Sus scrofa: one gene and its partners. The protein of the gene in region 6 purifies or fractionates together with the protein of the main gene of each other region. This does not show direct contact. Links are inferred from orthologs where the notes say so. Each region holds a gene or a part of one and is shown on either strand. Other genes may lie near its edges. The genes, in order: MOB1A, AJUBA, SAV1, LIMD1, ANAPC1 and LATS2.

Region 1 (4,168 bases), on a different chromosome or scaffold from region 6:
GAAGACTGATACTGGACCAGGACCCCTTTTTGGATGATCCTTTGGGGGCCTGAGGCAACTTAAAGGAAGAGAGAGATAAATTTGTTTCAAATAGCCAATAAGCACTTGAAAAGATTCTTAACATCAGCCAACAGGGAAATGCAAATCAAAATCTGGAGCTACCACTTCGCACCCACGAGAACGGCTATAATAAAAAAGATACACAGTAACAAATGTTATCAAGGATGTGGAAATAGCAAAACCCTCAGTTATTCGCCAGTGGAAGGTAAAATAGTGCATCCAATTTAGAAAACAATCTGGCAGTTCCCCCCAAAGATAAATACATAGTTAGTATATGACCCAGTCATTCCCAGGCACATACCCAAGAGAAAAGAACACATTCATCCACACAAAATCCCACAGAGGAATGTTCCTAATGGCCTTATTCCTAATAGCCCCAAGCTGGAAACAACCACAAAGTCCATCAACAGATGAATGGATAAACAAAATGTGGTATATTTATACAATGGAATAGTGCTCATAATAAAAAATGAATGAAGAACAGATACCTGCTACAACAAGGATGAATCTTTCTATTTTTTCTTTTTAGGGCCATACCTGCGACACATGGAAGTTCCCAGGCTAGGGTTGAATCAGAGCTGCAGCTGCCCACCGGACTAGGCCACAGCCACAGCAATGCAGGATCCAACCGGTATCTGCAACCTACACCGCAGCTTGTGGCAACCCCACATCTTTAACCCACCAAGCGAGTCCAGGGATGGAACTCTCATCCTCATGCACACCATGCTGGGTTCTGACCTGCGGAGCTAACACAGGATCTCCAACATGGATGAATCTTGATAACATGATCAGGTAAAAGAAACTAATCACGAAGATTGTGCACATATTGTACAATTCCACTTATTTGAAATATCCAGATTAGGCAAACTCATATAAAAAGGTAGACTAGATGTCGCCAAGGGATGGGAGTAGGGAGGAATGGTGAGCGACTGCTAATGGGTACCCGTTTCCTTTGGAAGTGATGGGAAAATGTTCTAGAAATAGGTAATTGTTACCGCTCTACAAGTCCGAATATGTGGGAAAACCACTGAAGCATATTTTTAAAAACGGCGAATTTTATGCTGTGTAAATTACATCTCAACTTAAAAAATCAAATTAACGTTAAGTAAAAAATTTCGCACACATAGCCATCTGACATCTAGATAACTGGGACAAAATAGAGCTGCTTCAACCTGGACCACGCACATCAGCATCGCAGGCAGAGGATTCCAAGTCCAGGGCAACTTGTTCAGCGGAAGTCCCGGCGTAAAGGTCCCTGATTGGCTCAGGTGGAGGAGCCGGCCCAAGGAAAAGGGGCGTGCCGAGTCCCTCTCGGTGGGGCGGGGCTGAACGAAGCTTTCGCTCGCGAGATTTTGCTGGTTCCGCATTTCGGGTCCGTAAAGTCGGGGAGGAAGGCGAGGCGGGTGCAGTAGTTCGCACCTGCTTGCAGCGGCTTGACCCCGGCTGCGAGCTGCAGCGTCGCGGGCATCCGCTGTCCGCCGGCTGAGGACCTTCGGATCCCCCTCAGTCCCGCGCGGACTCCGAATCCTGACCTCGGCGGGGGCGAGCGGCCCCTCCCCTCCGCTCTGAGGATAGAAGATGAGCTTCCTCTTGTGAGTGTGGCCCGGCCCAGGGCTTCAGGGTTGAGGGGGCTGAGGGCCGAGGTCGTGGAGGGGGCCAGTGGGAGCCTGAGGAGAGGGCGGGTCCCGGGGTCGGGGCTGGCGTACCCGGCTCTTGCTTTGCCACCGCTCGGGGTCGCAGGGAAGCCTGGTTGTGGTCAGAGGCAGACGGAGGTGAAGGTCGAGGCAGAGGAAGCGGAGCGAGAAAGTTGGGGAGTAGGAAGGCCCCGAGGCCGGCGGCGCCGCCGAAACTTTTCCGCCCGAGTGCGCCTGAGGGCAGAGGGATGATCTAGGGGCGGAGCCATGGGCCCCGCTTGGGGCTTCCAATTTTTCTCCGGTCTCCAGCCTTTTGGTAACGATCCATACAGATTTGGCTTTTTACTCTACTATACGTCCCCCTTTATTGTCATCAGTATTCGGTTACCCCCGCGGAAAATGTGGAGTGCCGCAGTTTGAGAAGCTGAAAGTTAAGCTGGCGGCCTTGTGTCCAAATTCTGATCCAGCCCACTTTGTGAATTTGTATAATTAGCTAACTGCGTTTTAACTCGGTAGACTCTTATTTTAGAGATAACGTCTGGGCGCAAGTGCGGCTTAAATGGGAAAGTGTAACTCTGATGATTCTTAAGCACATTTAGCTTTGAGAAGCATTGCTCTAGCACCTTACGTGTTATTCTCAGGGGGCTCTTATTATTTTGCTTTAACATGTCTTGTATGAGCAAATACATATCCATTTTTAGTTATGGGCATTACCCACGTACTTGGCATTTTTTCCAAGTTTTATTAAATTACATAGTGTTTCATAACTACAGTTTACCCCATTTATTGTGAGAAATTTGGATTCTTTCTAATACTTTGCAGTTATAAAATAGCACTACTAAGAGTATCTTTGTCTAAATCGCTTTTTCCCTCTTTGGATTTTTTTTAAAGTATGATCACCATATCAAAAAATCCGATTTATATTTTAAAGTTTCCTTATTACTAGACCGTTATCTACCCCCTCCTTCCGGTCTTTTTCTTCTTTTAATGTTTAGTTAATTGTTTGTGGATGCACAATTCTTATTTGCTTTTTGGACCTAAATGTGAGGCTGTTTATTTCTTTTAAACTTTGTTTTGTTGATGGACATTTGAATTTCCACTTTTTGGATATTCTGTACGCTGCTGTGAACTGCGTACAGATTTTTGTACTGGATGTATGTGCTTCTTTCTCTCAGATATATACCTAGGAATGGAATTGCCTGGTTGTATAGTTAACTATTTTTAACCCTTTGAGGAAGGGTGACACTTTTTCCAAGCACTGCACCATTTTGCTTTCCCATTAGCACTGTATGAGTTTCAATTTTCCCACACCTTCCCTAGCACTTGTTAATTACACTTTTGGTTATAGCCTTCCTAAGTGGATGTAAAGTGACATCTCATTGTGATTCATAATAACTAATGATGTTGAGCATCTTTTCATGTGCTTATTGGCCATTTGTGTATCTCCTTTGGAGGAATGTCTATTCAAATCCTTTGACGATTTTTTTAATCAGGTTGTCTTTTTAGGTTTTGAATTGTAAAAATTCTTTATCCTGAATATACAGGTCCCTTAGCACATCTATAATTTGCAGCATTCTTTCCTGTTTTGTGGATTCTTATCACTGTCTTGGTGGTGCCATTTGAAGCACGGAAGTCATCATTTCATACTAGTTTCCATATTTAGCTTCTGGTCATTCACAACTTCTCTTTCTATATGTAAAGCGCCATTCCATCTCCCTGTTAAATTTCACTCATTATCATGTTAAATACAAACTTTCCATATTTGATTTTTATTGTTTTCATAACTCCTTTTTACTCCATAATCAGTCTTATTTAAAATTCACATTACTCTAGTAAAGGGAAAGTCCTCAGTTCTATTCCTTTCCCTTTTCTAGAAGTACCAGTATCAGTTTGGTGGATGATATTTTCTCCACGTTTACAAAATGGGCTTCTGCTGTACATTTCTTTTTTTTTTTTAATTAATGAATTTTTTTCTGTGCTGTGTATTTCATTCTATAATATGTTTAACCATATTAAACATAATACTGTATGGTTTTCCAGGATGTAAATATGTCATAATTATTTATTCCTTTACTAGTAAACTTTAGTTTTTCATAATTAAAAACAATTTTGGAAAATATATCCTTACCCATATTAAGGAGAGATACCTAGAAGTGGAAGGGATGGAGTGAAGTGCACTTCCGTGTTAATATGCCATATTGGTCTCCTAAAGTATTACACACTTTGACGAATAGTGTATTAAAGTACTAATTTCTCTATACACTAGCCCACACTTAATGTAATTGTTATGACTTCTGACACTCAAGCTAAGGAAAAAATAAATTTTATTTTGATTGAACAGCTTTTCAGAAAAGCTGGTCCTTATGTTTTTCTTTGAATTGCGTATTCATTGCCTTAGCCCATTTTTCTAAAGAATTCCTTGCCTTTTTCTTAACAGATTATAAAAGCCCTTTATTGTTAATACTTTGTAATAT
Region 2 (3,500 bases), on a different chromosome or scaffold from region 6:
ATCCTGCAGTTGTGACCCTAAAAATACAAAAAGGAGCTCCCATGCTGTCCTCTCTTCCTATAAACCAGAATCCAAACACTGACTCATACACAAATGTATACTGGAGATACAGACTAGCATCAGGCCCTTTTTAAAAAAATTTTTATTTATTTTTTTTGGCCGCACCCGCAGCATATGGAAGTTTCTGGGCCAGGGATCGTACCCGTGCCACAGCAGCAACCTAAGCTGCTGCCGCGATGATGCCGGATCCTTACTCCACTGTGCCACAAGAGAACTCCTTTAGAAGGTACTGGAACCCGGCTGTGTGTGTGCCTGAATTATATGTTACGGCACAGGCTGCACACGTGGAAAAAAGGCCAGTCACTCTAGCAACTGGAGGGCTCCTCCTCCACAATCCATTTGGAATGTCTTGATCTTTGGGTCGCTGGCCCTTGGGGCCCTCCCTGGAGGACTCTTCTGCCAGGCCTGCAGAGTGCACTGCTTGCCCCACCTGGCCTCAGAGGGGCCCACTGGCCAGAGGAATTTGTCAGCGGTGGTGGTGGTGGCGGCAGCGGTGACTGCATCTCAGATGTAGTTGGCAGAGGGCTGTCTGGCATTGAGCCGCTGCATGTGACAGCCGTGGCAGAGCAAGTGCCCATCCAGAGGGAAGCAGCAGCAGCCTTCCTCATCACTCAGCTGCATCCGGCAGTCCTAGGGAAGAAGGACGCCTGGTTCACCTCAGCCCAGGCACCGGGGACATCTTGGGAGTCTGCCCTGCTTAACACCAGACTCCTAACGACTAGAAGAAGGGGGGTGAGGGTGTGGGAGGGGATGGACTCCCAGAAGAGAAACCCGAGAAAATACCTCAGCTGGACACCAGGTGTCGCTGCTACAGCAGAAATAATGAGATGGGCTCCCACTTCCAGCTGCTACCAGGAAAGTCCCTAGTTTTAGAAGTCTTGACTCTGGAGAAGCCAGATTTAGAAAGGACTAAACAACCAGGCCCAGAGACAGTGGCTGAAGGACAGATGAGGAAGAGGCTGGCGATGGGTCAGAGCACCTTCCTGGTTTCCTGGGCCCTGTGTCTCTCCTACAGACTCCACTCCCCTAACCCCATTCCAACTCTCCTCTGGGAGCCTGGGGCCCCCAACACTCACCTCACAGTGGTAGCACTCAAAGTGGTAATCTCGGTCCATGGATATCACCCTCACAATGTCCTCACAGCCCTGAAATAACGCACACGCCCATGGGCACAGGAGCAGCATGACCAGAACTCCCCACCACCACCGCCCCCACCCAAATGGGGAGATCACACAGAGGCCTCCGGAACCTCTCTGCCATCGTCTGTAGCTTTTTTTTCTTTTTTTTTTTTTTTTTAGGGCCACACCCAAAGCATATGGAGGTTCCCAGGCTAGGGGTCTAATCGGAGCTATAGCTGCTGGCCTACACCACCGCCGCAGCAACATGGGATCCAAGCCACGTCTGCAACCTACACCACAGCTCACGGCAAAGCTGGATCCTTAATCCACTGAGCAAGGCCAGGGATCAAGCCCACAACCTCATGGTTCTTAGTCCAATTCATTTCAGCTGTGCCACAACAGGAATTCCATCATCTGTAGCTTTGACGACCTTTGCAAACCCTACCGAACGTTCCACCTCTCCTTCCTTGGTGCTGCCTCCAAGAGGGCCTGTCCCCTCACAGAGCCTTCCCTCTGTCCAGGGGCTCGGGCCTTACCTACCTCTCCCATTTGTGGGGGAAGTAAAGCGGAAGGAAGGGGCAGGCCGCATAAGCAGGCTAAGACGGGGGCGGGGAAGCTCAACAGGGTCTGGTTCCTCATGGGCTTTTGGCTTGGCTCCCTAGGCTCACTTTTGGCACACACGGCAGAAATCACTTCTGACCCCCTCCTACCGGCCCTGAGGATTTTCTCCACCTTTTTCTAGCCCCTAATCTGGGAGCTGGTGACCTTGACCTCAAAGAAAGTCTATTTCTCTGGCCTGGGAGCAAAAAGATGGAGGCTGGGCCCAGTGAGGCTGTCAGACAAGTCCAGGCCCGGATGTTGGGGTCAGGGTGGTGACCCCTAGAGCAGAGTCACACGGGAATCTTCTCAGAATACATTCCTCAGCACCACTGCCTCCCATGGGAGGCCAGGCAGCATGTCCCCAGCCCCTCCCCAGCGGCCGCAGCACTGGCTGCCCTGCGGGAGGACCCAGACATACTGACCTCTGAGGGGAGGATGGGTTGGCCACAGGCTGCACACTTAGGAGCATAATTTCTGAAAGAGAGAGGATGGAGATGAGCTGAGGAGGGGGAAATCCCTGAGCCCAGTTCCACACCACACCCCAAGGGGTGGACTCACTTGTGGTAGTCGGTGACACAGTACACCTGGTTGGAGAAGTCCACGGTGAAGGGGATGCCGTCCAGGCACTTGTTGCAAACAACGCATCGGAAGCAGCCTGGGTGGTAGGACTTTCCCATTGCCTGGAGGATCTGGCCCAGGGGGAAGCAGAATCAGTCTCCACTCTCTGGCTACCGGCTACCAATGACGTTCCCTGCTGTTCTTGCCAACCCCATCAGAGCCGCTGCTCTCCTCCCAGAACACTGCTATGTAATCTGGGAGGACCAAGGGTCTTCAAATGGAGGCAGAAGCCCTGAAAAAGGTCTTGGAGAGCATCCAGGCCAGTGTTTCTCAGCCCTGGCAGCATATCAGGGTCACCCAGGGAGGTTTTAAGCCCATCAATGCTTGGGTCCCACCCAGAAGTATTCAGCACAGTCTCTGGTAATGCCCAGTGTTGGTATTTTTCTTTACTTCTTCCCAGGTGATCTGCTAGGCTGCCAGAGCTGTGAAGCACCACGCCAACCCAGTCCCTCCTTAGAGAACAGATAACTGAGTTCCAGCTGATCCCAGTCAGTAACAGGAAGGGGATTAAGACCCAGGACCCCATACTCCTAGCTTAGGCACTCGACCTGGCTATGGCTGCAGAGTTAGGGAGGAGCCGGATCATAGAAGCCTGGGGGCGGCAGGCTGAGGAGTCCAGACCTGATCCCACAGGCAGAAAGAAGCCACCATGAACAGCTGTTCTGAGAGGAATGGATGCAAGTGATTGCTGGGAGGTTTCCTCCCCCAGCCTTTTCTCAGTATCCATTTAGCTCCTGATTCTCCCCTTGGCCCCTGAGCCTCGCAGTCTCAGCTGAAGATGCTTTTCTTACCTTCTCCAAAATCAAGTGACCACAGACACAGCATTTCTCAGCTGCCTCCTGAAACCCTGAAAACTAGGAGGAGATCAAGAGAGGATGTTAACAGGCTGAGAATGACCTGATGGGTAGAACCCCAGAGGACCACCAAGAAGGGGGCGGAAGCCAATTCCAGGACCAGGGACCACTCACTCACCAGATAATCTTCCTCACAGTACACCGAGCCGTTGACACTGTAGAAAGCCTTGCATCGCAAAGTTCGCCCTAGAAGCAGTAGAGAAGGGGCTGGAGCCTCTCCCAGGGTCCAGGCACGGGGTGTCCCGCACAA
Region 3 (3,500 bases), on a different chromosome or scaffold from region 6:
CTCCAATTCAAAGAACACCTCATGAAATAATGAGAAGAGAAAGCAACAGATTATCTGCACCTTCTTATCTTGCCAGGAGTCTAGCAGATGTCCCTAGGGAATATGGCTCTTCTCAGTCATTTTTAACAGAAGTTAATTTTGCTGTTGAAAATGGAGACTCTGGTTCCCGATATTATTATTCCGATAATTATTTTGATGGTCAGAGGAGGCGCCAGCTTGGAGATCGCACACATGAAGACTATAGATATTATGACTACAACCACGATCTCTTCCAAAGAGTGCCACAAAATCAGGGGAGGCATGCTTCAGGTAACTTAAAATTATAAATACTACGTGAGTTTGATTTATTAACACCTCATTAAAAAAATGTTCTTTTCTGGATTTTCTTGGGAAGGCAACAGATACTCCTAAAGAACTACTTCTACATTTTGCCAATTTGCTAAGTCAGTTTGCAAATAATTATTAATCTGAACTGAGGGAAGGAATTTCATGTCTATTAAGCCATTTAATTACCTTATTTTATAAAAGCTTGGTACGTAGCTAAAGGCTATGTAGACTGTTAACATTTCGAAGCTGGAAAACCTAGAGATTTTAATGTCTATAGTTGGACTGCGTCTAGGTTTAGATTTGGTAAAATGGGAAGGTTAGGATTTCAGAGAAACTGGACCTCAACCTGGGAAAAGAAAGGCAAATAGGAAGAATTGGGCATGATGGGTGACACCATGGGCAACTACATCATTACTTAGCTAGAACTGGCACTGTTTCTTTTAACAGAACTGTTTTCGTAGTAGTCATTTATGTGTCTAGCATTTTCCCCGACCCTCTTGGTAGTATCTGCCTTCTGGGACCTATTTGGGAGGATGAAACTAATATATTCAAGATGATCAAAAAACAGGTAGTCATTAAACTTTGTGGTATTGACTGTTAAGTGCAGTAAAGAGTCAGAAGAGAAAGAGATCGGGGTAGGCTAGAATACTTGGAGAATGGTTTGTGGAAGAGGTTGGTCCTGAACTTTGCTTTTGCTTTTAGCTTAGACTTTAGAATGACAGGGGACATGGGAAGAACATTTTAGTTAGAAAATTAGGATTAGGCCAGTGAAAAGAGCAGAGATGATATAAATCCAAGGAGTTGTGCACTTCTGCATAGTTTGGAGAAATAAGTTGTAAGGTGAAATGGAGATTAGTGGTGCAGCAAGAGCTTGCAGGATTTAAATTTGAGTCAAGCAGAGGCCATTGAAGATTTCAAAAGGACAAGATGTTCATTTTATGAAAGGACTATTTCAAGATTAGCTTACCAGTTAAGATAGATTGCTAGAGAAAAGAGGACTGCAGTGGAGAGGAAAGTGCAAATCTATGATACTTTTGAAGGAAAAATGAGACCTAATTATGGGTTTGGGAGAAAGTAAATCACTGAAGTTTTGAAAATTAAAAGTATGGAGTAGTTGGCAAGAGTAGCTTATTTTGTGAAAGCTGACATTCAAGTCTCATTGGGACATTGAAGAGAAGAGATTCATCTAGAAGTCTATGAATACATAACATAAAATGTCTAGAGGCATATAGAAGTACTGTCATGAGAATAGGTGCGTGTCTTTTTTGTTTTTAAAGAACTTCTAGGTTAAAGGATTAGATAGTTGGATACTTTATTGTGTATTTTGGCTGTTTCTAGTAATCATGTATTTTTAAACTGAAATAATTTGTTTTCTAATCAGAATAGTAAGTTTTAAAAATAAAGTTCATTTTGGGGGTTCCCCTTGTGGCTCAGTGGTTAATGAATCCGACTAGGAACCATGAGGTTGCCGGTTTGATCCCTGGCCTTGCTCAGTGGGTTGAGGATCCGGTGTTGCTGTGAGCTGTGGTGTAGGTTGCAGACACGGCTCAGATCCTGCAATGCTGTGGCGTAGGCTGGCAGCTACAGCTCCGATTCAACCCCTAGCCTGGGAACCGCCATATGCCTCGAGAGCAGCCCTAGAAAAGGCAAAAAGACACACACACACACACACACACACAAGTTCATTTTTATATATTTTAACAAGATGTATTTAGTTATTTCTTTCATCTTTTTCCATGGCATTCTTTTTAAAACTGTGATTATAGTTTGTCCATTTTCATATCCCTGCCTTTTTATATGAATGAGTTTCTTACTGTTATACACTATTTATAAGTACTTTCAGTGATCTTCCATTCAGTACACATTTGATGGGTAATATTTTAAATGACCTATCAGGCTGGGGATGTTTGGAAAGGGGGGAAGTGAGACACATCTGCATTAATGGGCCTTGACCACTAATGGGGATTGAGGGATGAGAGAAAGAGAAGAGTCAGATAGGATTACCAAAGCACCTGGCTATATAGGAGGTACTCTAAAAACAAATGGTTGAGTAAGTGAATGGATCCACAGATTTCAAGTTTGGAGTCTTAAGACAATTTTGGTAGCTGAAGAGTATCGGGAATAATAGCTTATAACAGTGTTTGCCATTAATACCGATTGTTTATATTCCAAACATCACTGATAGCTTATGACACTTTTATACCTGAAGTATGCAGATTTAATGACACCAAGATAAAATCTTGTGTTAAAATCCTGATTCGTTGTAGTTCCCGTTGTGGCTCAGCAGTTAATGAATCCGACTAGCATTCATGAAGACAACTATTCGATCCCTGGCCTCTCTCAGTGGGTTAAGGATCCGGCGTTGCCATGAGCTGTGGTGTAGCTTGAAGACATGCCTCGGATCCTGCGTGGCTGTGGCTGTGGTGTAGGCCGGCAGCTACGGCTCCAATTGGACCCCTAGCCTGGAAACCTCCATATACCACGGGTACGGCCATAAGAAAAAGGCAAAAAAAAAAAAAAAATCCTGATTCACAAAATATCATTGAGGAAATATTGTAAAAACTAAATTTCTACTGATCCTCTCTTAGAACCCTGCTTATGCAGTTTGACGTAGTTTTTGTGTTTTTGTCTTTTTAGGGCCATATCCATAGCATATAGAAGTTCCCAGGCTACAGGTCTACACCACAACCACAGCTGAGGCTTGATCCTTAACCTACTGATCAAGGCCAGGGACGGAACCTGCATCCTCATGGATACTAGTTGGGTTCGTTATTGCTGAGCCACAACGGAAATTCCTGACATAGCTTTTATAATTTAAATAACATACTTTATTTTATTTTATTTTATTTTTGCCATACCTGTGCCATATGGAATCCACCGGGCCAAGGATTTAATCTGAGCCACAGCTGTGACTTATTTCTTCTCAGCTCTGGCAACACTGGATTCTTAACCCGCTGCACCAGGCCAAGGATCAAACTTGAGCTTCCATGGCATCCCAAGCCATTGCAGTCAGATCCTTAACCCAGCAAGAACTCCTAATGACAGACTTTAAAAAAATAACTTTCTCCAATCATGTTTTATTTTTTGTCTTTTTGCCTTTTCTAGGGCTGAACCGGGGGCATATGGAAGTTCCCAGGCTAGGGGTCCAATCGAAGCTGTAGTCGCTGGCCTAC
Region 4 (4,145 bases), on a different chromosome or scaffold from region 6:
GATCCTTAACCCCGTGAGCAAGGCCAGGGATCAAACCTGAGTCCTCATGGGAACTAGTTGGGTTGGTTAACCACTGAACCCCGACAGGAACTCCCAGATTCTGCATTTTTAACAAGCTCCCTGGTGATTCCAGTCTACTGGCCCCTGAACCAAGCTTTAGGTTTACAGAGTACAAAGCACTGTCAAGTGCATTCTGTTATTTGTTCCTTGTCACAACCCTGGCAGACAAATTCACTCATTCACTCATTCAACCATCAGATACTGGGTATACAGATATGGTCTAATGGAGGTGGAAAACCACCCAACCACCAAAAAACCCACATGTAAACAGCTAAACAAATAATTATGAATAGTCATCAGAAGTGATCAGGAAATAAAGAAGGTGGCGAAAAAGAAGGGCTCTAGGAGCAGGTGATTTTAGCAGAGATAGAAAGGATGAGCCAGTGGAAAAAATTCAAGGCAGGAAACTCCTGCAGTAGCACTCAGATGGGTAAGAGCCCCAAATCAGTCAGGAGGCAGGGGCCACTAGGGCCAGGAAGGCCTAGTACAGGTAGATTTCAACCCTAGTCCCGGGTAAGCACTGAGGGTGGGTAGGAGGGAAGTGACTGGTCTGATATTTGCCTTAGGATCACGCTGGCGGCTATTTGGGAAATAAAAACTTTCGGATCCTCTCTCAGGATCCCCTTGGAGGTGGTGCAGGGAGCGCTGGGCCAAGTGAGGGCACCCAGGATTCAGGCCCGACGCCCCCCAGAGCTGCGTGGGAGTCTACTGGGGAGGCGAGCGGGGGTCAGGAATCCCCTCGTGAATAACGAGCCACCACATCATGTGTTTTCACTGCCTCACTGAGGACCTCAGCTAGGCGCGCTCCGGGCCACGTCATGATTTATAACCCCCTTTCAGAGGACTTGGGCTCCCACTCAGGCTTTGCTAGTCACAGTGGCATCTTGGACACTTCCCCCTCTGTGCCTTAGTCTCACTACCTGTCGAAGGGCACCTTGGGCCAGCCCATGGCTGGCACTCCCGGGCGGAGGCGGCTCAAGGGGTTAGCTTCCCACCCGGGAAACTGAGGCACAGCTGGGCAAGAAGCGCGCGCCCACCAGACTTCCGCAGACCTTTTAACAAGCGGTGCGTCTCGGGGCCCCGCGAGCCTTCCAGGCCTCCCACCAGCGGTTTCCGCAAAGTGGTGCCAGATGATGGGACCCCGGCCTCGCAGAGGGGCGGCAGTGGCAGCTGGAAACCCCGCCATCCCCTTGACCGAGAGCGGGAAGGAGGGCTGCGGGACACACCTCCCGGCTCCCCAGCCTGGCAGGCGCGGGCCTGCCCCCCGGCGCCCGGAGCAACCAGCGCTGACCCCGCCCCTCGCCGGCGCCCCCGCCCCTCGGCCTCCTCCTCCGCCTCCGCCTCCTCGCAGGCCCGCGACGTGCCCGGCCGGCGACCGAGCGGCGGGGACGGCGTCCGGCGTACTCACTTCCGCGTCCCGCCGCCCTCCGGCCCGCGCGCGCCTAGCCACCGTCACCATCGGACAATAGGCCGCCAGCCCCGCTGCCGAGAACTTCCTGACGGGGCCCGGCCGGCCCGTGTGCCCCGGACCTCGATCCCTCTCCGCGTGGGCCAGGATTTCAGCCCCGCGCCACCTGGGGAAGCAGCGGAGGACCGAGCGCCCGGGACGTGCCCGCGCCTCCCGCCCGCCGCGTCTTTGCTCCTGCCTGGCTGGTTGGTGGCTTCTGCACTCTCCGCCTGAGCGGCTTTAGCCCGGCTCCGTCCAGCGGTTGCTGCCGTGTTGTGGGTTTCTGAGTTTGATTGCTTAAGGAGGATGTGATTTTTTTTTTTCCCCTCCCTATTTCTTTCTCCTTTTCTGATTTGAAACAGAGAAGAGAATCACAGCCAGCTTGGACAGGGAAGCGCCGCCAGCTGCCCCCACGTGGACACCAACGAGGGGAAAAGGAATTGGAAGCAAACTTGGTCCAAGTGGCTTTGAGGCCTCGGCATCGGCTGTACTCACAGGCCTGGGGTCATGACTCTCCTGCTGGGCAGGTGGAAGGCTTTACCTGTCTTGGGCTGGACTTGAGCCTCTTTTCTTTGCCAGCACCCCACCCCACCCCACCCTCCTCCACACTCTCCATACCCAGCACCTGGGCTAGGCCCAGACACTGGTCTGCAACATGGATAAGTACGACGACCTGGGCCTGGAGGCCAGTAAGTTCATTGAGGACCTGAACATGTATGAGGCCTCCAAGGATGGACTCTTCCGAGTGGACAAGGGTGCAGGCAACAACCCGGAGTTTGAGGAAACACGCAGGGTGTTTGCCACCAAGATGGCCAAAATCCACCTCCAGCAGCAGCAACAGCTCCTGCAGGAGGAGACCCTGCCCAGGGGGAGCCGAGGTCCTGTTAATGGCGGGGGCCGCCTGGGCGCACAGGCCTACCGGGAAGCTGGTGTGGGCAGCAAGCTGACTGCGGATGGTGCTGCCAAGCCCCCTCTCGCTGTCTCAACAGTGACTCCTGGGACAGCCGCCACCATCACGGCTGGGCAGCCCTTGTACCCACCCCAGGAGCAGAAGGCCAGGCCGCCTGTCCGTGGCGTGAGGCAAGGTAGCCAGGACTGTGGATCCAAGGAGAGCATGGCGAGTTCCGAGATGTCTGCTTTCCATCGGCAGGGCCCCTGTGAGGATCCTTCCTGCCTCACCCACGGAGACTATTATGACAACCTCTCCTTGGCAAGCCCCAAGTGGGGTGACGAACCAGGAGTGTCCCCCAGCATCAGGCTGAGTGTAGGAAGTGGGTGGTCTGGCACCCCAGGGAGCGAGCCAGCCCTGTCCAAACCCTCCAGGGATCATCTGTACCAGCAGCAGCTTTCCCCGAGCTCCAGCAGGTCATTGCAGAGCGGCCCTGATGGTGGTGTTGGTGGCCGCAGCAGTGAGAAGCCAGCAGGTCTTTGGACCACCGCCTCTTCCCAGCGAGTGAGCCCTGGCCTCCCTTCCCCAGGCCCAGAGAACGGAGCCCTACTGAGGGCTGCTCAGCCCAGGACCCCTTCTTTCTCTGCGTCCCTGGCCCCCAGCCGCCCCAGTCAAGGAGCTCTTCCAAGAACAAACTCGGGAGTGGCAAGTGACCTTTCAGGCATGATGCCCAAACCCACCGTGGACCCTCAACCCTGGTTCCAGGATGGGCCCAAATCTTACCTTTCTAGTTCTGCTCCATCATCCTCGACAGCCAGCATGGACAATATGCAGCTGGGTGCCGTCCCTGGGCTGGGTCCCAAGCCTGCCTGCACAGACCCTGGCGTGGGTCCTAAGCTCAGCCCCACCAGCCTTGTCCACCCAGTGATGTCCACCCTGCCTGAGTTATCTTGTAAAGAAGGTCCCCCTGGCTGGTCTCCTGATGGCAGCCTGGGGTCTGTGCTCCCAGAGAGCCCCAGTTCCCCCAGGGTGAGGCTGCCCTGCCAGACCCTCGTGCCGGGCCCTGAGCTTGGGCCCACGGCTGCCGAATTGAAATTAGAAGCCCTCACCCAACGTCTGGAACGTGAGATGGATGCTCATCCGAAGGCCGATTACTTTGGTGAGTGAGCGGCTGGTGAGGTTGCTCGTGGTGGGTGACAGGGACCCTGCGTTTGGGAGGAGGTGCTCCCCACCAGGGATTCTGTAGGTCTCCTTGGGTGGCCTGCCATTTTTCTTGTGGTGGGGGTGGAGGAGGCTTCCTCTTTCAGCTGTTTCTTGTGAAACTTGAAAAGAAACTTGAAAGCATCCCTAGGCAGAAAGCAGATCGTGCAGCTGCGGGTTACCCATGTGTGAAGGGCAGGATTGCTCATGACTGATCTCGAAGAGGGGGAAATGTGGTGACTTTGGATTTCACGGGTTTTGGGGGTGACTTCGAGCCTCTCATGGTGACTAGCTCAGGCAGGACTTGAATGGGCCTCTTAGGTCCAGGTACCCCTGCATTCCATCCTTTGTTGGCTAGGCCAGGCAGGGCTGGCTATTTGAGGAGCAGGGGTCGGGCAGGGGCCTCCGCAGCTGTGTGTGTGCGCGTGTGCACGCACCATGTGTCTGTCTACAGGTGCTGTGTGCAGCTGAGGGAGATGAAACACTGATGTGGAAGATTTTGTTCAAGAGTAGTAGTTCTTGAAAGTGTAGTCCAGACCAAAAGCATCC
Region 5 (4,171 bases), on a different chromosome or scaffold from region 6:
GGTGAAAAGAATGTTTCCCCCCTTTCCGGGGCCGCCACGCTCACAGGGTGTCCTTGCTAATGTTGTCCATAAGGGCTCAAGCGGAGCAGCCGGGTCCGCAGTCCCTTTCGGTCGCACCCCAGCCTGGGTGGATCAGCACCGGGACTGCGACCCCAACTCCCACAGTCTGCTGGTCTCCGGGCGCGGGTCCCCCTGGAGATGGGGTCTGCCGCTCCCAGAACTCCCGCCACAGCCAGGGTCCAACCGCGCAACCAAGTCCAGGGCAAAGTTTCTGGCGCATTCCGCGCCAGACCTGCGACCAGCGTTCCTCTCCGCGCAAAACTTTTGGGCTTGCAGCGCTTCCAGTCAAGCTCGATTTCCCCCTGGGCGGTTAAGGGGAGCCCTCGGTACCCACCCCTTCCCGACTCCACCGGGACGCGCGCCCACGACCCAGCCTGGGTGCGGGGACAGTGGGTTGCTAGAAACTCCTGCGCGCCAGCGCCTGGCACCGCTGGGGCGCGGGGAGATGTTTGCAAACTTTCTTGCAGCCGGGTGCGCCCAGGTCGGTGCGCTCCCACCTCCCAGCTCCCGGCCGCGAGCCCCCAGCCCCCAGCGCCGGGCCCCTGGCCCCGGGCACTCACCTCCCCTCCAGAGCGCGGGGAGGAGGAGCCACCGCAAGAGCAGCAGCAGAGCCCGTCCCATCCTGGGGCGCGGATCTGGAAATTCTCTCTGGACCGACGGAGAGACAGACGTCTGGAACACGCCGCGTCGTCCGCCAAGCGCGCCAGAGAAGCGGCCCAGTACCGGCGGCCCGGGCAGCTCCAACCCCGAAGTGGCGAAGCCGAGCAGCGGCGGGAGGCGCTGAGGGCTGGAGGGGGCGGGCCGGGGGCCGAGTCCGAGCGGACCCTAGCCAGTTGGGTTGGGAAGCGGGCGGGAAGGCGGGGGGGAGAGGAGGGCCGAGGAGGAGGAGTAAGGGGACAAGGCTGGACTAGAGGGGCGGGGAGGGGCTGGTCTGGGCGGACCTGGATGTGGGGTGGGGGCGAGGGGACAGGAGAGAGGGGAGGAGGTGGGGGCCGTAAAGGGGAGGGGCGACCGGAGGTGGAGAGGAGAACCCGGCCCAGGCCTCTGGGCGGTCCCGGCGTCCAACACGTGCAGGTGGGAGGGACAGAGGGAGGAGATAAAGTTCCAGAGGAGTAGAAGACGCCCGAGGCAGCCACCAGACCTAAGAGGAGGGGCCAGCGGCTCCCGGGCAGCGGCGACCCCGCAATCCAGGCTTAGTGGACCCAGAAAACTCAGGCAGCAGCAGCTCTCCCAGAGGACAAGGCCACAGTGGTAGGCGATCTTTCTGAGCGCCGCATCCACCGGCTCCCGGCCGAGCGCTCCCCGCCTACACCGCCTCGGGTATCGGGCCAAAGGTGAGAGACCAGCCCTGGCCTTTAGGAACTCTCCTCCCCCCGGGGGAAGAACCACTGTGTCCCCTTGTCAAAGACGTGATGGTCATGGAAGATCGTCAAGGAAAAAGTGCAGAACACTAGCGGAAAGAGATAGCCCCGCAGTGATAAAGTGTGTAGGGGCCAAGGGGGCAGCCGCTAGAGTTAATGTATTTTAATGTGATCCTTTGACAACGTGAGCTAAATCTTGGCATTCCTCTAATCACAACTCCACTGGTGGTTCCTGCTTTCTCCCTGCAAAAGAGTCAAAGTCCTGCCTGTGGCTGACAAGGTCTTAGAAGACGTGGTCCTCTTTCCTCTCTGACATCATCTCCTTACTCCATTTCCATTTACGCTGCTTTCTGATCCAGCAGTCCCTGACTCCTAGGCTGGTGGTCACTTGGGGTATATTTGGCTGTAAGGAGACAACAAGCCCAAATGGATTTAGATTGGTTATTACACTGACAGCAAAAGTAACATCAGCATGGTGACATCACCTGGCATCCCTAGTCTCTCAGGGTGACACGGATCTCAAGGGGCCAGATGAACAGATGTGAACAGTGAGGGGATCTGCTGCTAAGAAGCTAATTCTAAAGTACAGCAGAGCAGTTTCACATACGTACCCAGGAGCCTGCTGCTGTGCTTGGGGGCAGGAGGAAACCTGGAGGGAAGGCAGCAGAAAGTCCTATGCTCAACTGAAAATATGGAGAGGGAAGAAAACAGCCTTGTAGCAGTTTTCCTCAAGTCGGGGATGTGACAGATGACAGACAGTCAGGATATGAAAAGATGCCCAACATCACTAATTATGAGAGAAATGCAAATCAAAACTACAATGAGGTATCGCCTCACACCAGTCAGAACGGCCATTATCAAAAAGTCTAAGATACTAAATGCTAGAGAGGGTGTGGAAAAAAGGAAACTGTCCTCAACTGTTAGTGGGGATGTAATTGGTGCAGCCACTATGGAGAATAGTATAGGGGTTCCCTAAAAAACTAAAAACAGAATTAGTATATGGTCCAGCAATCCCTATCATGGGCATATATCTGGAGAAAACTCTAATTGAGAAGATACATGCACCCCAAAGTTCAGAGCAACACTATTCACAATAGCCAAGACATGGTAGCAATCTAAGTGTCCATCAAGAGATGAACAGATAAAGAAGATATAGTATGTATACACAATGGTATATTACCAGCCATAAAAAGATTGAAATATTGCCATTTGCAAGCAAGATGGATAGACCTAGAGATGATCATACTAAGTGAAACTGTCAGAGACAAATATCATATTCCACTTATATGTGGAATCTTAAAAAATGATACAACTGATGAAAAGAGCATGTTTTAAAGAAGGCCTTAGGGAAAAAAAAGAAAGCATTAGGGAAGAAAAAATACATTTATAGTACTGTACTGTATTTACCAATACCATAAGTTTATATCACGTGTTTAAAAGATGTAAAACATGTCAATACCTATATTGATATTAAATAGTCTTATATGATACAAAACACTGTAGATAGTACACGTATGACTAACATTAGACATCAAAAGTGAAAACATAACTTGAAAAATAGGGAGTTCCCTGGTGGCTCAGCATGTTAAGGATCTAGTGTTATCACTGTTGTAGCTTGGGTCACTGCTGTGGCTCAGGTTCAATCCCTGACCCAGGAACTTCTACATGACACAAGCATGGCCAAAAAAAAAAAAATGCATATTTATATAAGGTACCATATTTACTTATTTACTTATTTATGGCCATGCCTATGGCATGTGGAATTTCCCAGGCCAGGGATCAAACCCAGGCCACAGTAGAACCCAAGCTGCTGCAGTGACAACACCAGATCCTTAACCTGCTGCACCACAAAAGAACTCTGGTGTCATATTTATCGAAAAAAATCTAGAGTTCCCATTGTGGCTCAATGGTAATTATCCCGACTAGTATCCACGAGTATGGGGGTTCAATCCCTGGCCCCGCTCAGTGGGTTAAGGATCCGGCATTCCCATGAGCCGCAGTATAAATTGCAGACACAGCTCAGATCTGGCATTGCTGTGGCTGTGGTGTAGGCCAGTGGCTACAGCTCCAATTCAACCCCTAGCTTGGTAACTTCTATATCTGCAGGTGCAGCCCTAAAAAGACAAAAAGAAAAAAGAAAGAAAGAAATCTGAGTGTAAATGGACCCTCAAAGTTCAAATCTGTGTTGTTTAAGAGTCAACAGGACTGGTATTAGACAGTGTAAGAGACTACATTTGGAGAGGTGAATGACAAACTGGAAGAACCAGTGTCTAGCCCTTGCAACTTCTGGATTCCTTTTGCCATGCTGAACATCTGGGATGTGCAAATATCTAGACATCAGCATTCACTGAAGCACTGAGATGCTGCTTAGCAGAGTCTTGAATCAGCATAAAAGTACAAGTGTCCAGCAGTTGAAGATTGGAGGAGATTGGGATGGTGGATATAGGAATCTCTACTCAGCCACTACTAAAGAACATACCAGAAGCACAGGGATCTAGAATTTGTAATCTGATGGGGAACTGAAGTGATGCTTTCAAGCAACTCCATTTAGCTTCTGGAACAAAATCCTAGTAGTCTAAATCCTTTGTAGTTCTAGAGGAATTTAGATGGGACATGTAGAAGACTCCATTTTTCTTCCCCAAACCATTCCAGAAAGAAGATGTTTGTAGTTGTTATAGTTTATTGGGAGAATGGAGGTGGTAGATATAAAAGATTCCGTTTGCTGAACAACATACTGAAATTGCAGAGGT
Region 6 (3,500 bases):
CATGGCGACAGACTAATTTAAAAAGACTACTGTTACTGTTGGTAACAATACCGACCAGAAGTCCAAGTTCTTGAAGAACCAAACACGAAGTACACACGAGGAACGAAGCGGCAATTCTGTGACCCGGTCGGGGCGGTGCCGAGCGCTTCCCGGGGAGGTCTCGGGACCTCGGCGGCGCCCCCGGCAGGTGGGGTGGGAGCAAGGAGGGGACCCCGCGGAGCTCCCACGCCCGGGACTCAGCCAGGGCAGCCTCTGGAAGGCCTTGGGGCAGGCTGGTCTTCCTCTGATTTTGTCCCATGTCCCAACACAAGCCCCGCTCCAACCTTGCCGTGCCCAAATTCTTGCCAAAGGTGCACTGCAGTCCCTGCCCAGGGGACTCCTCTGGGCTGCGCCGAGGGCTGGGGGGACAGGGTGGCCGCCTGAGGGCCAGCACCTCCCGCCTCCCACCTTTCCTGGGCAGCGAGGTGAACACTCCCCACAGCCTCTCAAGGCAGCCGCAGTTACAGTGAGGCTGGCAGGCGGGCAGCTACCAGGGGACACAGGTGGGGGCCCTGTCGGCTGGCTCCAGTGACCTGGGTCACAGCTCCCTGAGTGCATCCCCCGGAATCAAACCCACAAATGCAGCCGCTGATAGCACATGACCAACGATCAGCTTCCTCCTGCGCCCGGCCAGGCGGGGCACAGGGTCCCCACATCCTGCCACCTTCCAGGCGCTTGGGGAGGCATCGGAGGAAGTGACCCTCGCCCACGCTGACCAGGGAAGGCAGTGCCTCCCAGCCGGAGCCTGGGACCCTGGTGCCCCTGGCACGCACTCTGTCCACACCAGCTCTGGGGCGGCTCCTCTGGGCTTGGGGGCAAAGGGCAGCCCCACCCTCAGGGCCACACACCAGGGCCACATGCTGAGAACACACTCTCAGCCCCGCAGGAACCCGGAGGGCGACTCAGGCTGAGCACTGGAGCCGGGGGCACACACGCACCTTTCCGGAGGAGCACTTCCGGGGCGATGTAATTCGGGGTCCCCACCAGGGAGTGCGCCAGACACCGCTGGTGCTGCCTCCGGGCCCTCTGCTCCAGGGTCTTGAGCCGGTCCCCACACCGACAGTTGGACACGTCGTCCCAGAGGTCGCTGGGCTCCATGCTGTCCTGCCGGGTGTGGCTCCCTGTGACCCGGGGCGCAGGGCGGGGGAAAGAGGAGGAAAAGCAAGGTGAACCTTCGCTCTTCAACACGCAAGAGACCCCCAGTTTCAAAGGTCAAAGTTTTCCAAGGCAGCGCCCGACACAGCGAGAGAAGGAGTCCTCCCGCCAGCTCCGCGGGGCGGCTGTGGTTCCGGGCCTCAGATCCAAGCCGTGGGCGGTGGCGGCAGGGGCTGCGCCCGGCGCCGGGCGGCCTGCATGGGGCGCTGTTCGAGGCTGGCGACAAAGGTGCTGTGACTGGGGGATGGCGTTCCCAGCATGCTCAGGCCCACCTCTGAGGCTACGTTTTACGACAGGCACGGAAAACCAGGAAAAGATTAAGAAAATACGAACATTGGAGCTCCCATTGTGGTGCAGCAGAAAAGAATCTGACTGGGAACCATAGGGTTGTGGGTTCGATCGCTGGCCTCGCTCAGTGGGTTGGGGATCTGGCGTTGCCGTGAGCTGGGGTGTAGGTCGCAGATGCAGCTCAGATCTGGCGTTGCTGTGGCTGTAGCTCCGATTGAACCCCTAGCCTGGGAACCTACCTCCATACGCAGCAAGTGCAGCCCTAAAAAGCAAAGAAAAAAAAAAAAAAAAAAAAAAAAAACTAAAAAAAGGGAAACATGAACATAAATGAGTCCAGTGCCAAAAGACAAGCATGAATTAAATGATTTAGGATTAATTTTGAGTTAAAAAATGGAAGCCTGAGCTATAGCATTAAAATAACTATTTCAAAAATTCATACCATAAATAAGAGTTGCCATCATGGCTCAGTGGATATGAATCTTACTAGTATCCATGAGGATATTGGTTCAATCCCTGGCCTCGCTCTGTGGGTTAAGGATCTGGCGTTGCCATGAGCTGTGGTGTAGGCCAGTGGCTACAGCTCTGATTCGACCCCTGGCCTGGGACCCTCCATGTGCCACAGGTGTGGCCCTAAAAAGACAAAAAACAAAAACAACAACAACTCATACCATAACTAAGACAACAACCAGCTGTTTCTGACGTTTCCAAACAGCAGAGCTGCCAGAGGTAAAGGTCACTGGGTGCACAGCGCGGTCTACACCTGCAGCAGGCCAAGGCTGGCCGAGAGCGAGAGCTCCTTGGGAGGCCATGAGGCTTATTTTTGAAGGCTTGTTTTAACAGGCAGAGAGACGCTTCCTGCGCAAAGCCCAAAGACACCCCATGGCCTGCCGTCCTAACAACATCCCCGTAAGACTTGAGGCCACTAACGTAACACGGCAACCTCCAGTCGGGCTGCCTTTCCAGGGAGAAGAGGGTGTCGCAGCAGCGGAAAAGCACGGGCGGGGGGCGGGGGGGGGTGGCGCTGGCCCGGGCTGTACCTTTCTGGTAGTATTTGGAATTGTGAGTCCACCTGAAGCCCGTGCAGAGGCCGAAGTCGGTCAGCTTGATGTGCCCGTCCAGGTCGATCAGGATGTTGTCCGGCTTGATGTCGCGGTGGATGAAGCCCATCCTGTGGACACTCTCGATGGCCAGCGTCAGCTCGGCGATGTAGAAGCGGGCCAGGGGCTCCGGGAAGACCTCCATGCGGATCAGCAGGCTCATCATGTCCCCGCCCGGGATGTAGTCCATGACGAAGTACAGGCTGTCCTTGTCCTGGAAGGAGTAGTAGAGCTTCACCACCCACTCGTTGTCCGCCTCCGCCAGGATGTCCCTCTCGGCCTTGACGTGGGCCACCTGGTTGCGGCTGAGCACGTCCTTCTTCCTGAGGGTCTTCATGGCGTACAGGGCGTGCGTGTCCACCTTGCAGGCCAGGCACACCTCCCCGAAGGCGCCCACGCCCAGCGTCTTGATTTTCACGAACATGGACTTGTCCATCCTGGCCCTCTTGAGCCGGTTGTAGTTGGACTCCTTCTGGTAGAGGATCTTCCGCATCTGCTCCTGCTCGGCCTCGCAGAGGCCGGCCTGTGCAGAAGGAGACAGGGTCACCCCGGAGGACACGGCGGGGACGGGGCCCCGGAAGGGGCAGGACCCCCCTCCAGCCCGTGGAAGGAGGGAAGCGACGGAAGGGCCGAGCACCAGAGCCAACCAACCACGTCTCGCTCCTGCCGGCCACGCAGAGCCACAGCGTGGAGGCGGAGGGAGACACCCTAGGGAGCGCTTGTTCTGGTGACTTTAGGTAAAGGTCACTGGGTGCACAGCTAAATGTAACTTCTGTTAATGACGTTCCTGGAACTCTAAGAGCAACGGATAACTGAACGGCTCAGGGAAAGATGGTAAAACAACAAGAAAAAAGCCAGTGAAAATAGGACAGCAGGAAGAGCATACATTTTACTTCCCCAATTTTAAGTTCTCACCTGTGT

What was found.
Region 1: the proteins of LATS2 (region 6) and MOB1A purify together in Homo sapiens (affinity purification with western blotting; 9 studies listed by BioGRID and IntAct, with this or other methods). This does not show direct contact. The link is inferred for Sus scrofa from reciprocal best matches to the Homo sapiens genes LATS2 and MOB1A.
Region 2: the proteins of LATS2 (region 6) and AJUBA purify together in Homo sapiens (affinity purification with western blotting; 3 studies listed by BioGRID and IntAct, with this or other methods). This does not show direct contact. The link is inferred for Sus scrofa from reciprocal best matches to the Homo sapiens genes LATS2 and AJUBA.
Region 3: the proteins of LATS2 (region 6) and SAV1 purify together in Homo sapiens (affinity purification with western blotting; 4 studies listed by BioGRID, with this or other methods). This does not show direct contact. The link is inferred for Sus scrofa from reciprocal best matches to the Homo sapiens genes LATS2 and SAV1.
Region 4: the proteins of LATS2 (region 6) and LIMD1 purify together in Homo sapiens (affinity purification with mass spectrometry; 3 studies listed by BioGRID and IntAct, with this or other methods). This does not show direct contact. The link is inferred for Sus scrofa from reciprocal best matches to the Homo sapiens genes LATS2 and LIMD1.
Region 5: the proteins of LATS2 (region 6) and ANAPC1 purify together in Homo sapiens (affinity purification with mass spectrometry; 3 studies listed by BioGRID and IntAct, with this or other methods). This does not show direct contact. The link is inferred for Sus scrofa from reciprocal best matches to the Homo sapiens genes LATS2 and ANAPC1.

The regions. Positions count from the first base shown.
Region 1 is NC_010445.4:68,851,101-68,855,268, forward strand, and holds the start of MOB1A (MOB kinase activator 1A), read left to right. Parts: upstream 1-1,368; 5' UTR 1,369-1,638; coding exon 1,639-1,652; intron 1,653-4,168. UniProt on the Homo sapiens protein: Activator of LATS1/2 in the Hippo signaling pathway which plays a pivotal role in organ size control and tumor suppression by restricting proliferation and promoting apoptosis.
Region 2 is NC_010449.5:76,069,509-76,073,008, reverse strand, and holds the end of AJUBA (LIM domain-containing protein ajuba), read right to left. Parts: intron 3,437-3,500; coding exon 3,369-3,436; intron 3,251-3,368; coding exon 3,188-3,250; intron 2,468-3,187; coding exon 2,337-2,467; intron 2,253-2,336; coding exon 2,201-2,252; intron 1,206-2,200; coding exon 1,137-1,205; intron 691-1,136; coding exon 565-690; 3' UTR 125-564; downstream 1-124.
Region 3 is NC_010443.5:180,427,959-180,431,458, reverse strand, and holds part of SAV1 (protein salvador homolog 1), read left to right. Parts: coding exon 1-309; intron 310-3,500. UniProt on the Homo sapiens protein: Regulator of STK3/MST2 and STK4/MST1 in the Hippo signaling pathway which plays a pivotal role in organ size control and tumor suppression by restricting proliferation and promoting apoptosis.
Region 4 is NC_010455.5:28,728,847-28,732,991, forward strand, and holds the start of LIMD1 (LIM domain-containing protein 1), read left to right. Parts: upstream 1-1,345; 5' UTR 1,346-2,162; coding exon 2,163-3,555; intron 3,556-4,145. UniProt on the Homo sapiens protein: Adapter or scaffold protein which participates in the assembly of numerous protein complexes and is involved in several cellular processes such as cell fate determination, cytoskeletal organization, repression of gene transcription, cell-cell adhesion, cell differentiation, proliferation and migration.
Region 5 is NC_010445.4:44,482,590-44,486,760, forward strand, and holds the start of ANAPC1 (anaphase-promoting complex subunit 1), read left to right. Parts: upstream 1-1,371; 5' UTR 1,372-1,394; intron 1,395-4,171. Other genes in the region: MERTK (tyrosine-protein kinase Mer), read right to left, coding at 621-681. UniProt on the Homo sapiens protein: Component of the anaphase promoting complex/cyclosome (APC/C), a cell cycle-regulated E3 ubiquitin ligase that controls progression through mitosis and the G1 phase of the cell cycle.
Region 6 is NC_010453.5:1,231,471-1,234,970, forward strand, and holds part of LATS2 (serine/threonine-protein kinase LATS2), read right to left. Parts: intron 3,103-3,500; coding exon 2,520-3,102; intron 1,161-2,519; coding exon 978-1,160; intron 1-977. UniProt on the Homo sapiens protein: Negative regulator of YAP1 in the Hippo signaling pathway that plays a pivotal role in organ size control and tumor suppression by restricting proliferation and promoting apoptosis.